2 linked regions of the Rattus norvegicus genome follow. The protein of the gene in region 1 interacts with the protein of each later gene in a pairwise test. Links are inferred from orthologs where the notes say so. Each region holds a gene or a part of one and is shown on either strand. Other genes may lie near its edges.

What was found.
Region 2: the proteins of Aamp (region 1) and Aen interact in binary tests that used the Homo sapiens proteins (3 or more experiments, as listed by UniProt). The link is inferred for Rattus norvegicus from reciprocal best matches to the Homo sapiens genes AAMP and AEN.

The regions. Positions count from the first base shown.
Region 1 is NC_086027.1:83,314,360-83,321,748, reverse strand, and holds the start of Aamp (angio-associated migratory cell protein), read left to right. Parts: upstream 1-3,423; 5' UTR 3,424-3,918; coding exon of another isoform or gene 3,919-3,985; 5' UTR 3,986-4,432; coding exon 4,433-4,553; intron 4,554-4,746; exon of another isoform or gene 4,747-4,779; coding exon of another isoform or gene 4,780-4,882; intron 4,883-5,011; coding exon of another isoform or gene 5,012-5,014; coding exon 5,015-5,170; intron 5,171-5,863; coding exon 5,864-5,983; intron 5,984-6,520; coding exon 6,521-6,660; intron 6,661-6,916; coding exon 6,917-7,061; intron 7,062-7,269; coding exon 7,270-7,353; intron 7,354-7,389. Other genes in the region: probable hydrolase PNKD, read right to left, coding at 3,018-3,186, 3,919-3,985. UniProt on the Homo sapiens protein: Plays a role in angiogenesis and cell migration. In smooth muscle cell migration, may act through the RhoA pathway.
Region 2 is NC_086019.1:142,221,379-142,228,556, reverse strand, and holds the start of Aen (apoptosis-enhancing nuclease), read right to left. Parts: upstream 4,025-7,178; 5' UTR 3,732-4,024; intron 841-3,731; 5' UTR 778-840; coding exon 253-777; intron 1-252. UniProt on the Homo sapiens protein: Exonuclease with activity against single- and double-stranded DNA and RNA. Mediates p53-induced apoptosis.

The sequences.
Region 1 (7,389 bases):
CTCCCACCTCGGCCACAGGGTTCTAGGCTAGGAGCTGGAGCTGTTTCCCTCCTGGATCCAATAAAGCCAGATGCTTCACCTCTAGCTCCAGTGCTCATAGGCCACTTATGCTGTCTGAACTCTTTAGGCTTGGCATCTCTTAGCTTTAGAAGCTAGAAGAGATCTGTGCCCTGGGGTCTCTCTGTTCCAACCCCATCTTCCAGTAACACGTATCCATTATTTATCTGGGCTAGGGGAAAAGACAGTGAGCAAAGACAGTATGGGGGGAGAGTAGCACAGAATGGTGTCCCCCTGACTGGCACCCATCTTGGCTACCATCCAGGTCCAAAGTGCTTGAGGCCTTCTGAGGCTTTTAAAATCTGACCTAGAGGGACCTCCTACTTTGCTTTGACACACAGAGGTGGAGGTCAGCAAGTAAGGTGGATTGTGGGATGAGTGGGGACAGGGAAAGTGCCTTGGGTGCCCCTCTGGTTTGAGAAACTGAAACGTACTCTGGTATGTAGCAACCTTCCTCCCCAACACAAGTTCAATCTGTTCTGTGTTCCTACTGGGAGATTTTAGACTAAAACCCCTCTTCAAGCCAGCTGCTGTTTCTCTGTAATCCAAGTGCCTCCAACTGGCACCATGGTGGGGATAGAAGCCAGTTTATCAGGTGGAGTAGAAACCTTATTAGCCCAAGGACATAGTTCAGAGCTATTCTGTCCAGTACTTGATTCTGAATCTAATACAAAGGGACGCAACTAGAAATATAATAAAGTTCTATGTTTGGCAAGAAGACCCTGAGTATCTGTGGCTTTCCTAACTGTAAGGTGGTGGCTTTGGCCAAGTGTCACTTCCTCTGATCTCAGGCTGGAAAACATTCTGTGGACCAAGCAGATTTTCTTGGACCAGTTCTTGGTGATGGCTGAGACAGGCTACTAAAATGACAAAAGTTGGCTGGGGAAAGGAGCTCACACCTGCAGTACTGGATCCAGAGAGGGTTCTTGACCACTGCTGGACTACTTCAACGTCATGAGGCCTCTGTAAAAGCTCCCTAGCTCTAACTTGCCCATGAAGCTCTGTCTTTATCATTTTTACCCCAGACAGGAAAGGGGCTGGATCATGGGTTTAGAATCTCTTGGAAACTAGTTTCTCTTACAGAGGAGGCCCAGAGAGGCTGACATAATTAGATGCACTTTTTAAAAAAATTTTTTTTCTTCCACACCCTGAGTGCTACATTTGATTTTTGGGGTAAGGCCTCTTTATTATTTTGCTCTGGCTGTCTTGGAACCCTGGCCTCAAACCCAGAGATCCACATGCCTCTGTTTCCTGAGATAAAAGATGTCTATGCCTGACTACTTTTAACTAATTTTAAGCTGGATGGCTAGCTACCCTCCTAACCAGTGACTTTTAAGACATGAGTCTCCAGAGCCTGTTCCTAGGCTTGCTGTGGTTACTCCACCTTCCTGGGAAGACAAGTCTTCTGTGAGGGAACAGGGATGAGCAGCTAGTTCCACTTTGTCCCTCCCCTCCCCGGGGCTTACAAATTCAGCCTTGCTTCCCTTCCAAGCCAGGACTTAATAACTTTATTTGCATTTGACTCCTTCTACCATGTGGAAGAAGAGGTGGGTGCTGGCAGCGGTTTGGGCATCATGCGCCCTCTGGTGGGCCTCAGGAGCAATGAACACAGTTGGCTACACATCAGTCAATAAAGTCTAGCACAAGGTTGCAATGATCCTTACTCAGGTCTGTACTCCAGACCCAACTTCAGGGAACTGGGCTTGTTGGGGCGAAGCCCTGAACCTCTGGCTCTCATACTCGCCCGTGTTGGACACCCGCATGTTCTGACGAGCCTTCATCTGCTTCAAGCGGTCCTTGTCCACTTCCTGCTTGGTGAGGACGAAGAAGAGGATACCACAGGGGAAGCCGATGGCCCTAGGGATGGGGAGATGGGCACTGGGTTTGGGCAGGGACTGGGACTGAGCCAGAGGAGCTAGAATTAGTCCAGCTTTGCCACTTGTACAAATGCCGCGGTGAGGCATATTACTTCTACCTGTCCTTTGTGCTGAGTGCTGGAGGGAACCCACAAATCAGAGCCTCCTGCTGCTGCCTGCTTTGGACAACCATAATAGTTCTCTATTATATCCTGGCCAACTCCAAACTCCTAAGGCAGGGCACTAAAAGCCCAGTGTGGTCCTACCTACCTTTTCATCTGTCCTCTTATGGCTGATATTGATGAGCCTCTTGTGCTGAATGCTTCTGTGTGATAGCCTAAGCAGCCCAGGCTTGCTCTGAGTTAGCAAAGGACCTCTCTGCATATACTGTCTTGTGTCCCTTGCCAGACCTCTCTATTTTTCTTTACGGTGCTGCAAATCGAACTTAGGGCTTCAAAGATGTTAAGCATGTGCACAACCACTAAGGTACGTCAACCAACTCTCAATCAGAGTAACTACTACTAAAAGAGGGCCTTGGCAAGTGCCAAAGAACAGGAAGCCACAAGAGCTGGTGACAATTGCAGCTGGGAGCCTCAGTTCCCTGCTTGGCAAGATGAAAGTGCAATGTTTACCTCAGAAAGCTTAAAACATTATATGGCACAGTACTGTCATACCTCAGACATTTGCTGGAAAAAATGTTAATTTCCCTTCCTTTTACTTTAGTGATTGATAATCAGTAATATGTATTAAAACCAGAATCAGAACCACAGAACTCACAGAAACGATTCTAGCTTCTATACAACACAATCTGACACTATTTTAATTACTGGGATTGGAATGTTACCCCTGCTCCCAAAGGGAAGGATGAATCCAACGACTCCAAATCAGATCAGCTCAATTTGCTCCAAAGAAAAGCCACTGTCCCCCAATTTTACATATTATTCCACCCTCACCTCACCCCATTCTTCTGAGATTCCATCCCTTGAATCCAGCAATTTCCTTCCCTTGGATTCAGCTCTGCCCTTGCAACTTGGAGAAGTTTCTAGGTTCCAACACCTTTCAGTACACTCCCCACTGGTAGGCAAAGGGGCAGTTAAAACTCACCAGGCTAGTCCCACAGCTTTCATGGGGTTCTTGCCCCTCTTTCTGGGAATGTATTCTAGCTCAGGGGAGAGGGGCTCAGGCTCCTCCTTGCATTCTGGTGAGCTGTGGCTCTGCAGTGCTCTGGTCCTGTTCTGGGAAGCCTTGTTAGCTGTCGCTCCAGAGAGGATCCCTGTGAATAAAAGTACCGCAGGTCAGTATGGGGGATGAGGGAGGGTTAGAGGGGCTGAGATTTGAGGAAGGGGAGTGACTGCAGTTTGGAGTAATAAGTGCTGTGAAGAATCTAAAGAGAAATGGGAAAATCGCCATCGGGTGACACCTTTGGAAGCTACTTCCACGTCACTGCGGACTCCTCACCCTGGTGCCAAGGCAGTGAGCTTCGCTGCTGTTCTACTCAGAAGACAGGTTGGGAAGGACTGCAGAGGAACTCACCGGAGACATACGAATGAAGGAAATTCGGGGAACTGTTTTAAAACTGCAGGACCTTAGCTATCCTAAAGGATAACTAACTCCATCCCGTTGAAGAGGAAGCTGAAGCCCGGAGAGACGAGCTGCTTCGCACAAGGTCAAACCGCTAATTACTCAGTGCTAGAACTCAAACCTCCAGAAGCCTAGGGCTCTTTCCTCTGCACTGCGGTGAGTGTGAAACCCCTGGGACGCGGGAGTCGAAAGATGTCTCTGGTACTCTCTCTAGCAATAAGACCCTAGACATGCCGCGCGACCTAAACGCAGGGGTTGGACTGGATGACCTCTAGAGCATCTTTTCACCCCCAGACTCTCTTAAGATCATAAAGAGAGATGTGGGCAGCAATTGGCAGCCTGACTTCCTGCTGTCGCGCTGGGTAGGATGTAAGGGAAACGGAATCTTTTAAAACCCTGCCCTCCCCAGGGTCCCTCTCCTTACCCCGGAGGACGCGGGCATTTCTCGCCCCCCGGCCCTTCAGCGCCGTAGCAGCTACCACCGCCGCCATGTTCGGGTCCCACCCCCCTTCACTGCGCTCCCCGTCGGGAATTGTAGTTTGCGTAAGGGGCCTCCCCCGCGCCTTCCGTCCTGCCTACAGAGTCGAAACTACATTTCCCAGAAGTCCGCATAGCGGGCCCGGGAGAACTACTCCTCCCAGGAGACGCCGGAGGCGCGCACGCTCGCTTGTTTCCCTCCAGCCGGGGGCGGAGTCGTGTAGGGTGGAGCTTGGACTCTCCCGCCACGCCCCGGCCTGGTCATCCTAGTTCTGCCTTATGATTGGCGTCTCTGTTAGTCCACCTCTGTTGCTATTGGCCCGGATGCCGTCGCTCTTTCGGCTGGGAGTCACCTACGCCTACTTCCTCCCGGGAGGAGGGGCTCGAGTTCCGCGTCGTCGCGCAGAGCTGACTCTGGGAGGCGTTTGGGCCCAGAGAAGTGGATCGGTAGGTTTCGCCGCATGGAGTCCGAATCGGAGAGCGGAGCGGCCGCTGACACCCCGCCTCTGGAGACTCTGAGCTTTCACGGAGATGAAGAGATCATTGAGGTGGTAGAGCTGGATCCAGGCCCGCCGGACCCGGGTGAGAACTGACGCTCCTGAGGCCACGGGACAGGAGGCACTCACCCCTGGCCTCTGACCCCTGCTTCTCCCCAGTTCCCCCTCCCCCCATCCCTACCGGTCGTTCCTACCGACATTTCTCTCCCAGACCTCCTTCCCTACCCCCCACATTTAGTTTCTAGGCCTGGCTGGGTGGGGGTTCCCTGACGCCTCCCCTGGCCCTTCCCCTCACACACCCCCTTCCCATCATGCCCTCTGTCCTCTCTTCCTACACGGTCGCTGGCCAACACCGGGTCTTCAGACCTAGCCTCTCTCTCCCTCCCCGCCCCCCAAGTGCTCTCTTCCTGCTCGGTACGTGTGGGACAACACCTTAACCCTTGGCCACATGACCCACCCTAGCGTCACCTTTTTCATTCTTCAACCCTTACCCCATTCCTTCTCTATCTTTTCGAGCTCCATCTTTTAACGCTTCTCCCAAAGCAGATGATCTGGCCCAGGAGATGGAAGACGTGGACTTTGAGGAAGAGGAGGAAGAAGAAGAGGGCAATGACGAGGGCTGGGTCCTGGAACCCCAAGAAGGGGTGGTCGGTAGCATGGAAGGCCCCGATGACAGTGAGGTCACCTTTGCATTGCACTCAGGTAGGCCTTTGAAGGGATCACCTCAGATCAGTGCAGATGGGCCTTTGAGTATGGCCCATGGCCCTAGGGAGGTTATTATGAGAGACAAAAGTGAAAGCCACCTACTTTGGCCTGCAGGATATTCAAAGGAAGGGCCAAAAAGGCACTGGAGTTAAGTGAGACCCCTGAGTTCAAATCCTACCTCTGCTGTTTAGCAGTCTGTTACCTTAGTTAGCTTTCTGAATCTTGGTGTTCTTTAAAAAAAAAAAAAAAAGTTATCTTGGATGAAAGTGAATGGGAGTAACCCAAGTGGAAATTAAAGGCAGTTTACACTCGAAAAGAAGCATTACCAATAACCTCAGATGCTAGCCTCGTGAATTGTAGCCTCGTGAATTGCTCATAACTTAATTCCTACTCAGCCTGGTATGGCCTGTGCTGTCAGCTGTGACCATAGAGCCACCTCTTGGCTTGCACCTCAGAGTGCAGACTGAGGGGAACAGAACAGCAGTGGGATATGCTCTGGAGGAGGACTTGGAGCTTTGTGGGCTTGGGAAAGATTTCTCTTAACAGTCTGATGCTCCAGACAAGAACTGGATGCAGCCTTCCCAGGAGAGAATAACTGTGGCTTTGGGGAAAGGGAATGTGCTTCCTGAAGGTTCTGAAAGGCCGAACTCTAGGTGAGAGCCCTTTCTCATGGACTGTGTCTTGGGACAGCATCTGTGTTTTGTGTGAGCCTGGACCCCAAAACCAACACCTTGGCAGTGACGGGGGGTGAAGACGACAAAGCCTTTGTGTGGAGGCTCAGCGACGGGGAGCTCCTCTTTGAGTGTGCAGGTGAGAGGCTGGGGTTGTTGTGTTCCTTTGGACATCTTGGCGGGTGACTCATGTGAACACCCAGCAGCTGTTTTCTAGCCTCTGTCTTGTACTGGGTCCAGGGACCCGCAGTAGAAGTTTGGTAGGCATTCGGACAGGAAACGCTAATGGGCCAAGGGAGGCTGGCTAAGATGAGCACGGTGCTGGTGCAGGAGTAGGCAGCGGCCCAGAGAAAACAGGCTCTGGTTGCTTCATAGGGAGCCGATAGTATCTGGTCTTGGAAACCTGGAGTGTCTGGTCCCCGGAGCTGCAGCAAGTTTGATCCCTTGTTTGCTGAGGTCCTCCTACCTTTTTTTCCTGCTTAATTACTTTTAAAAGGTGACTAGCGCATGGGTCACATGTCCCCATCATTTAGATATTTTTTTAATGTTCTTCTACCACTTTTTCTTTTTTAAGGTTCTATAGTTGGGTTGGTCTTGGATGTAGCCAAGGCTAGCCTTGAATTTGTTACATCTCTTAGGCAAATTTGAGTCCAAAACTGCCTACTTCTCTTTGCAGGCCACAAAGACTCTGTGACATGTGCTGGTTTCAGTCATGATTCCACCCTAGTGGCCACAGGGGACATGAGTGGTCTTTTGAAAGTATGGCAGGTAGAGACCAAGGAAGAAGTCTGGTCCTTTGAAGCAGGAGACCTGGAGGTGAGATCCTTGGAGTGGGTCTCAACTCTGTGGGACCTTAAGTGAGAATGAGGGCTTCTGGGAGGGATGGTGGCAGGTATAGCCCTCTGTATACTGGAGAAGTTTGCCTTGAGCCACAGCACCCCTGGTCTAACAATGTATCTGTTTATCTTTAAGTTCTTGCTGACCTTAGAAGGTCACACCTTGGATAAGGTTCATGGACTCTTAGGTAGGCTGGGTAGCAGGCCTTACTTGCTGATCCTCCCTCTCTGACCAGTGGATGGAGTGGCACCCTCGGGCTCCTGTTCTGTTGGCCGGCACAGCTGACGGCAATACTTGGATGTGGAAGGTACCCAATGGTGACTGTAAGACCTTCCAGGGCCCCAACTGCCCTGCAACCTGTGGCCGTGTCCTCCCTGATGGTGAGAGCAGTCGCCTCTTCCTGGGGGGGGGGGGGTGGCTCCAGTGACTGGGGGTACTTTAGTCATCCCAGTCTCCTGCCCTACACTAGGTCTTGGCTGTGACTCCAGGGGGAGTTTGGGGACCCCCTAGTCTATCCTTCCTGTTAATTCTTTTCTTGGTGTGTCTGAGTGTCCTTTGTCCTCTGGTTATCCATGCCTTGGTCCTTAGGAAAGAGAGCTGTGGTAGGGTATGAAGATGGTACCATCAGGATTTGGGACCTCAAGCAAGGAAACCCCATCCATGTACTGAAAGGTATGAGAGGTGGTGGTGGGGGTGTTTTCCTTGGCT
Region 2 (7,178 bases), on another chromosome or scaffold:
AGCAGTCTCTAAGTTATCATGCCCTTACCTGTCATATAACCTTTCTACAAGCAGCCCCTGGCCTGGCAACCCTTCAGAGTGGTAGCACCTAGATTTATGCTAACCCATTCTCTGGAAAAGGAGCTGCATGTTTGGAGAAGTAAAGTGACTTCTCAATCTCAAGGCCCTTCACCCTAGTCCAAAGCGATCCCTCACACCAGGGCTTCTCTCCCCAAACTGTCATTCTGGCCAAATAAGGCCCAGGGTCCTTACCTCCTTCTGGGCCACCTGAAAGGGGATAGCCTTGTGCATGTGCTGACGGGTAATGCCGCTCCAGCGGGTTCGATAGTCCACAATGGGCATTTCAGGCCGGATGTACTTGTCATAGAGAACATCACCACTGTAACTCACCACGGAGCAGCGGGCTAGCTCACTCACTCGCCCTTGGGGGCCGGTACCCACCATCTCACAGTCAATGGCCACATACTTGCTGGGCCCAGAGCTTGGGGCTTCTCTGGGGACAGGCCTTTTGCTACACAGGCCTTTGCTGCCAGACCTGGCCTTGGTACGTTGTTTCCTGTTGCCTGAAGCCTCTGTGCCTGCTGGCGTCTGTGTTGGGGAGGGCAGAGGGCAGAGTCCTGGCCCTGGTACCATGCTCAACGACTCCTGCTCCTGAAGCAAGGCCTTGCGGGCCATGAACCGCTGGTGCTGCCGGCTTCTCCTTTTGTGTCTCCTCCGAGCCACATCCTTGGTCTTCAGGCTAGTGAGGGAAGACTCAGGGACTTCCCTGGGCACCATGCCAGCCAGCTCACAGGCAGCGGTAAGAAAGCTCTGGAGGCTGTCTGCCCACGAGGCAGTGTGCTGAAGAGAGAGCACAAAGGAAGAGGGGCTGGGAGGAGGATGCCAGGACGCCCTGCCTCTCATCTTCAAGCACCTGCCTGAAAACTCAGACGCCTTCACCAAGAACTGCACTCAAACACTGCACATGCCATCCATGCCTCCTGAGAATCCCCTCAACAAGAGCTGCATGGAATATCCCACCCCCACCGACCCCACAAAGTATCATCACCCTCGCTGTACAGAAAAGAAACGGTGTAGACAGGAACCCAGAGTCCATGCTCTGAACCTCAAGCTCACTCAGTGGTGTGAGAAGTATGGCTACAGGGCAGCAAAGATTACAGAAACAAGAGTCCAGCTGAACACCCCACACCGAAAACCCCCAAATCTGCCGAACAAAGTTTAACCTGGGTCTTTATAAACTCTTGTGCCCAAGTCTGTCTACTTCTCCCTCCCTTACAAACACACACACACACACACCCTTCTGCCTTTTCCTCAGCAAAGCTTACTCTTTCCTACGCCAGACGCCAGCTACCCTTGGGCCAGAGCACCTCCACGTGGACTCACTGCTGTTCCCAAACCACACCCCTCCAACGCCTTCAGACACAGTTCTGTATCACGGAATGCTGTTCTGAAACCCCTGGATCTCCCCAACGTTACAAAGAGGTTCCCTGGGGTCCCAACTGTGCCAGGTGCTGGACAGTTACAAAGATGGATCCCGGGCCGGGAAGCTTGGTTGGACCAGACACAGAAATGCGGCAGACAGTGCGCTGAGAGCCGGCTAGCCATACAAGGAGGAAAAGAAGGCAAAGAGCTGCAGATGATCCCAGAAGTCACTTCCGAGTAAATGGGGAGCAGTAACCCTACAGGGAAGAGGGAGTGGGCAATGGAAACACCAGGGACAAAGGCCTGACTAGTCTCATGCTGGGGCAGAGGGGCCAGCAGCAACTTGAAGTCACCAGTTATAACTGTCTGGTGGGTTACCACCTCACCTTCTGCCATTGACTTGAGCGGTCCTTCCACAAGCCACCCTTACCCATACTGGTGTCTTCAGCCTAGTGTCTGCTGGTGAAGTGAGGGAGGCCCAAGGCACCAAGGTGGGCCAGTAAAATGTGGACCAAGCAGCACTGATCCAGGCTATTAACTGTCTATGAGGAGAATAAAGAAGGTCATCCTGCATACTGCAGTACATTGGATTTTGCCCTCCTCAGACAACAGGCAGCTTTCCTCAGAGTCCCCTCAAGTCAGCAAGCTGCAGAGCCCCCACTGTGTTTGCTGTCCCTCTCTCATGGCTTCAGAAGCCCAAGCTGGGCCTCCCAGTGGCAGGCCTGGAGGGTACTACAGAGCTCGAAGTCCTCCAAACCACGGATCAACAGGAAGGGAACTTGAGAACCTGGGCAGTCACCGGGAAGAGACCTTGAGTTAAGGAGAGCCGGGAAGCCCAGGGTGGGAAGAGTATTCAGAAAAGAGAAACCTGACAAGCACAGACCTAAGAGCCAGGGAGAGTAGGCAAAGAACTTGGTGCAGCCTGTAAACACCTAGGGAGCAGGGGGTGTACTGAGTCACTGGAGGACTCCAGGGGACATCGTGGTTACCTCATCAGAGGATGAGGTCAGACTAGGAGCCCAAGATGTGACATTTGCATATGCTTGGCCCAGGAAGTGGCACTACCAGGAGGTGTGGCCTCATTGGAGGAAGTGTGTCACTGTGGGCGTGGGCCTTAAGACTTTCATCCTAGCTGCCTGGAAGACAGCCTTCTGTCTGCCTTCAGATGAAGGTGTAGAGTTCTCAGCAACTCCAGTCGCACACCTGCCTGGATGCTGCCATGTTCCCATGTTGATGATAATGGACTAAACCTCTGAACCTGTAAGCCAGCCCCAATTAATTAAATGTTGTCCTGATAAGAGCTGCCTTGGTCGTGGTGTCTGCTCACAGCAGTAGAACCCTAAGACACAGGGTGGAGTAGCAGTAGCAGCGGGGAGGAAAGAACAGTCTGTGTTTGCTGATGCCAGCATGTGCACTAGGAGTAATGGTCCACTTAGCCAGGGGGAGGCTCAGTGACCCATGCTGACACAACTGCTCTCGGCTTGCTCATCTGCTCTCTGAATAGTACCCTGTCTTTTAAGAGGTTGTCAGCAACTTCCTCATTTCCACAAACCACATCTCAGAACTGACAAAAATTCAGAAACTCAATTTGCCTTAGTCCAGCAAAGGGAGAAAACCTGGCCTAGAAGACCTGTGCTAGCCCTGCTGATCACGGACTTCCGGTTGGGGGCAGGAGGATGGACTCTCCTACCCCCTGCTGGCAAGGTTTGAAAGAAGCTAAAATTAGGTTCCCCGGAGTAGAGGTCTCCGTATTTTTGCATTTGTTTGAAAAGATAAAGGCAGTCATTTCCTATAGTCCCTGAACCTGTGGACGTGCCAGAACTAACAATTATCACGGGAACGCACTTCCACAGCCCAAAGCCCTGAATGACACTCACTCAGTTTAGCTGGAGAGAAGTATTCAGAGGACACAGCTCTTTTAGCAAAGCCACGTACAGATATTCCACATCATAACTCTCTCTGGCCAGTATGGAAGGCACTTGGCCTTCATGTGAAGGTCCCTGACCCAAGAGGACTCCAGATGAGAAGGTTCCCAAAAAACTGCAAGGCCAGAATCGTCACTGGCATAAGGGTCCCACCTGCCATGCTGGTAGACCCGACCTCCGTCAGTGGGCCCGTCTAGACACTGTTCTGGCACGAAATAACCTGATGACATCAGAAAGTCACTGTCCCTTAACCATCAACCGCCCTAGGTAGAAGGCAAAGTTTTGGGACAGGACCCGAGACCCCACCCTCAAGTCACGATTGTGAAGACCCCAGTTTGAGAAAGGCTGGCGCAATAAGGTCCCCAATGCTACCCAAAAGCTTACCTGACCAGTTTTTTGTTTGTTTGTTTGTTTTTTAAGTATGAGGGCAGGCCGCAATCCTCACAGCTGAGGCGTGCAGTGGACGCTCAATGTCCACGCGGTCCCCTGATGCCCACCGGCTCCAAGTTGGGAAAGACCGCGTGAGGCCGCGTTCCGGCCTGGCTGCACACCACCCGGTCCCGAGAGCCACGTGAGGCTGGCGACAGGAACCCGCAGCCCGGGGCTCCCTGTGGCGGTCCCCTAGCTCACCTGAAGACCGGGCCGCACTTTGCGGCTTTCACGTGGAAGCCTTGACGGCAGCAGTAGTTGCTTGCCCGGACATGCCCGGCTTCGGCTGCCTGTCTATTGGTTCGCTGGGCCGTAGGGCCCGCCTAAGGCCTCCTCGGATTGGCTGATCCTGCTCCTCCTGGAGTAGGCGTGCCAGTCAGAAGGGGTGGGGCTACCGTAGGAGGAGCGCGTGGTCTGCGCCGGGAGAGGGCAATGTTTAGGAGGTTAGTAAAAAACTGAATGGAACGTCTGGTTTCTGACCTGACGCCTAGTGAACGTCAAACTTCAAAGACTTAAAGTCACAAGGTGCACACCCAAATCTGCCTAGGGTGAACTGCAGCCTCTCCAGTCTCGGAGTTCTGAGAACCGGGTGAAATAATACAGTATTCTTTAAACTTGAAAAAAAAAATCAGGTTTGCTTTTTCTGCATTGCTTTTTCAATATTTATTTAATTTGTGTTTTTTTATTTTTTGTTTTGTTTTTCGAGACATGATCTCCTGTAGCCCAGGCTGTCTCATTTTCCTTCTTTTTTCCAGTATCAAGTTCGTATTTTCTGTATAGTTGTGAATGAACTTCTGATCCTCTTGCCTCTGACATCCTAAATACTGGTATTACAGCATTTTGCCACCACACCCATATTAAGTATTCCTTTGCATATTTTATTCATATACTCATTTCCCTATGAAAAGTTTTTAAAAGGGGGATGGGAGAGTTGCCTCGGAAGTAAAAAGGTGCTTGCTCGGTAAACCCGATGACCTGAATTTGATCCCTGGACCTTCTTAGAAAGCTGATTAAAGTGCACACCTTTAATCCCAGCACTCAGGAGGCAGAGGCAGGTGGATCTCTGAGTTCCAGACCAGCCTGGTCTACAGAGCAAGTTCCAAGACAGCCAAAGCTACGCAGAGAAGAAAGGAAGGGAGAGGAAGAGGGGGAGGGGAAGAGACAGAGTACTCCTACAGTGCTACAGTGAGATGGTAATGGAGACAGAAAAATTAACCGAAGCTCTCTGGCTAGCTAGGGTAGGCAGAAACGAGATACCCCAAACAACAAGAAACTCCCTGAAGTTGTCCTCTAACATGCACGGGCATGCATACTCACCCACCCACACCCACCCCAGTCCCTACACCTACACACACACACACACACACACACACACACACACACTCACTCACACACAAAATAGGTTTTTTTTTAAATAAATTTAAAAAGGAAAAGCTAGAGGAGCTCATAGACCCCAGAATCAAATCTACTACTGTTTTGCTAAACTGACAGTATCAAACTGCCCTTAAAATTTGTATAATCGGGCTAAGATCAAAAACTCAGGTGACAGCAGATGCTGGCGAGGATGTGGAGAAAGAGGAACACTCCTCCATTGTTGGTGGGATTGCAGACTGGTAAAACCATTCTGGAAATCAGTCTGGAGGTTCCTCAGAAAATTGGACATTGAACTGCCTGAGGATCCAGCTATACCTCTCTTGGGCATATACCCAAAAGATGCCTCAACATATAAAAGAGACACGTGCTCCACTATGTTCATCGCAGCCTTATTTATAATAGCCAGAAAATGGAAAGAACCCAGATGCCCTTCAACAGAGGAATGGATACAGAAAATGTGGTACATCTACACAATGGAATATTACTCAGCTATCAAAAACAACGAGTTTATGAAATTCGTAGGCAAATGGTTGGAACTGGAAAATATCATCCTGAGTGAGCTAACCCAATCACAGAAAGACATACATGGTATGCACTCATTGATAAGTGGCTATTAGCCCAAATGCTTGAATTACCCTAGATCCCTAGAACAAACGAAACTCAAGACGGATGATCAAAATGTGAATGCTTCACTCCTTCTTTAAATGAGGAAAAAGAATACCCTTGGCAGGGAAGGGAGAGGCAAAGATTAAAACAGAGACTGAAGGAACACCCATTCAGAGCCTGCCCCACATGTGGCCCATACATATACAGCCACCCAATTAGACAAGATGGATGAAGCAAAGAAGTGCAGACCGACAGGAGCCGGATGTAGATCGCTCCTGAGAGACACAGCCAGAATACAGCAAATATAGAGGCGAATGCCAGCAGCAAACCACTGAACTGAGAATAGGTCCCCTATTGAAGGAATCAGAGAAAGAACTGGAAGAGCTTGAAGGGGCTCGAGACCCCAAAAGTACAACAATGCCAAGCAACCAGAGCTTCCAGGGACTAAGCCACTACCTAAAGACTATACATGGACTGACCCTGGACTCTGACCCCATAGGTAGCAATGAATATCCTAGTAAGAGCACCAGTGGAAGGGGAAGCCCTGGGTCCTGCTAAGACTGAACCCCCAGTGAACTAATCTATGGGGGGAGGACGGCAATGGGGGGAGGGTTGGGAGGGGAACACCCATAAGGAAGGGGAGGGGGGAGGGGGATGTTTGCCCGGAAACCGGGAAAGGGAATAACACTCAAAATGTATATAAGAAATACTCAAGTTAATAAAAAAAAAAGAAAAAATTTGTATAATCGTGCATTCGATTAGTGCAACCCCAGACCTCATTAGAGTAGTTTTTTGGTGCAGTGGGCAAGAGGAGACATCTATGGCCCACCCCTTCTCCCCAAAGCTCAAGACCATCTTGGAAGACTGGGCAGAGAGACTGTAAGAGCAAGAGCAGGAGGAAGAGGACTGGGGTCATGTCCATGTCTCCTGGGCAAGACAGGACCATGGCACTCTTAACTTCATAGCCCCTGGGGCTGCCTCCACAGGATCAACACAGTCACCCTTTCAAGAGCTTGAATCCTGCAGCAACTCACAAGCCCTCCCCATCCTTGGCTGCTGATAGTTGATGGTTGCTGGGAGAGAGAAGAGCTGGCTTTCCTGGATGAGTCAACAGAATGTGGCTGTGGATAGGTCGACCAACCGCACTCCAGTGGCTAGTTCCACATCCGTGCAAACCTGGGCAGCGGCAACTGGAATCAGTGGGTCGCAGTAAAAGAAAAAACGACCCGAGATTGGAAGGGAGAGGGTGGCCAGTAGATCTAGGAGGAATGGGAATGAATATGTTTAAAATGCATTGGATGTTTATAGTTTTTTTTTTTCTTTTTTCTTTTTTTCGGAGCTGGGGACCGAACCCAGGGCCTTGGGCTTGCTAGGCAAGCGCTATACCGCTGAGCTAAAATCCCCAACCCTATAGGTTTAATT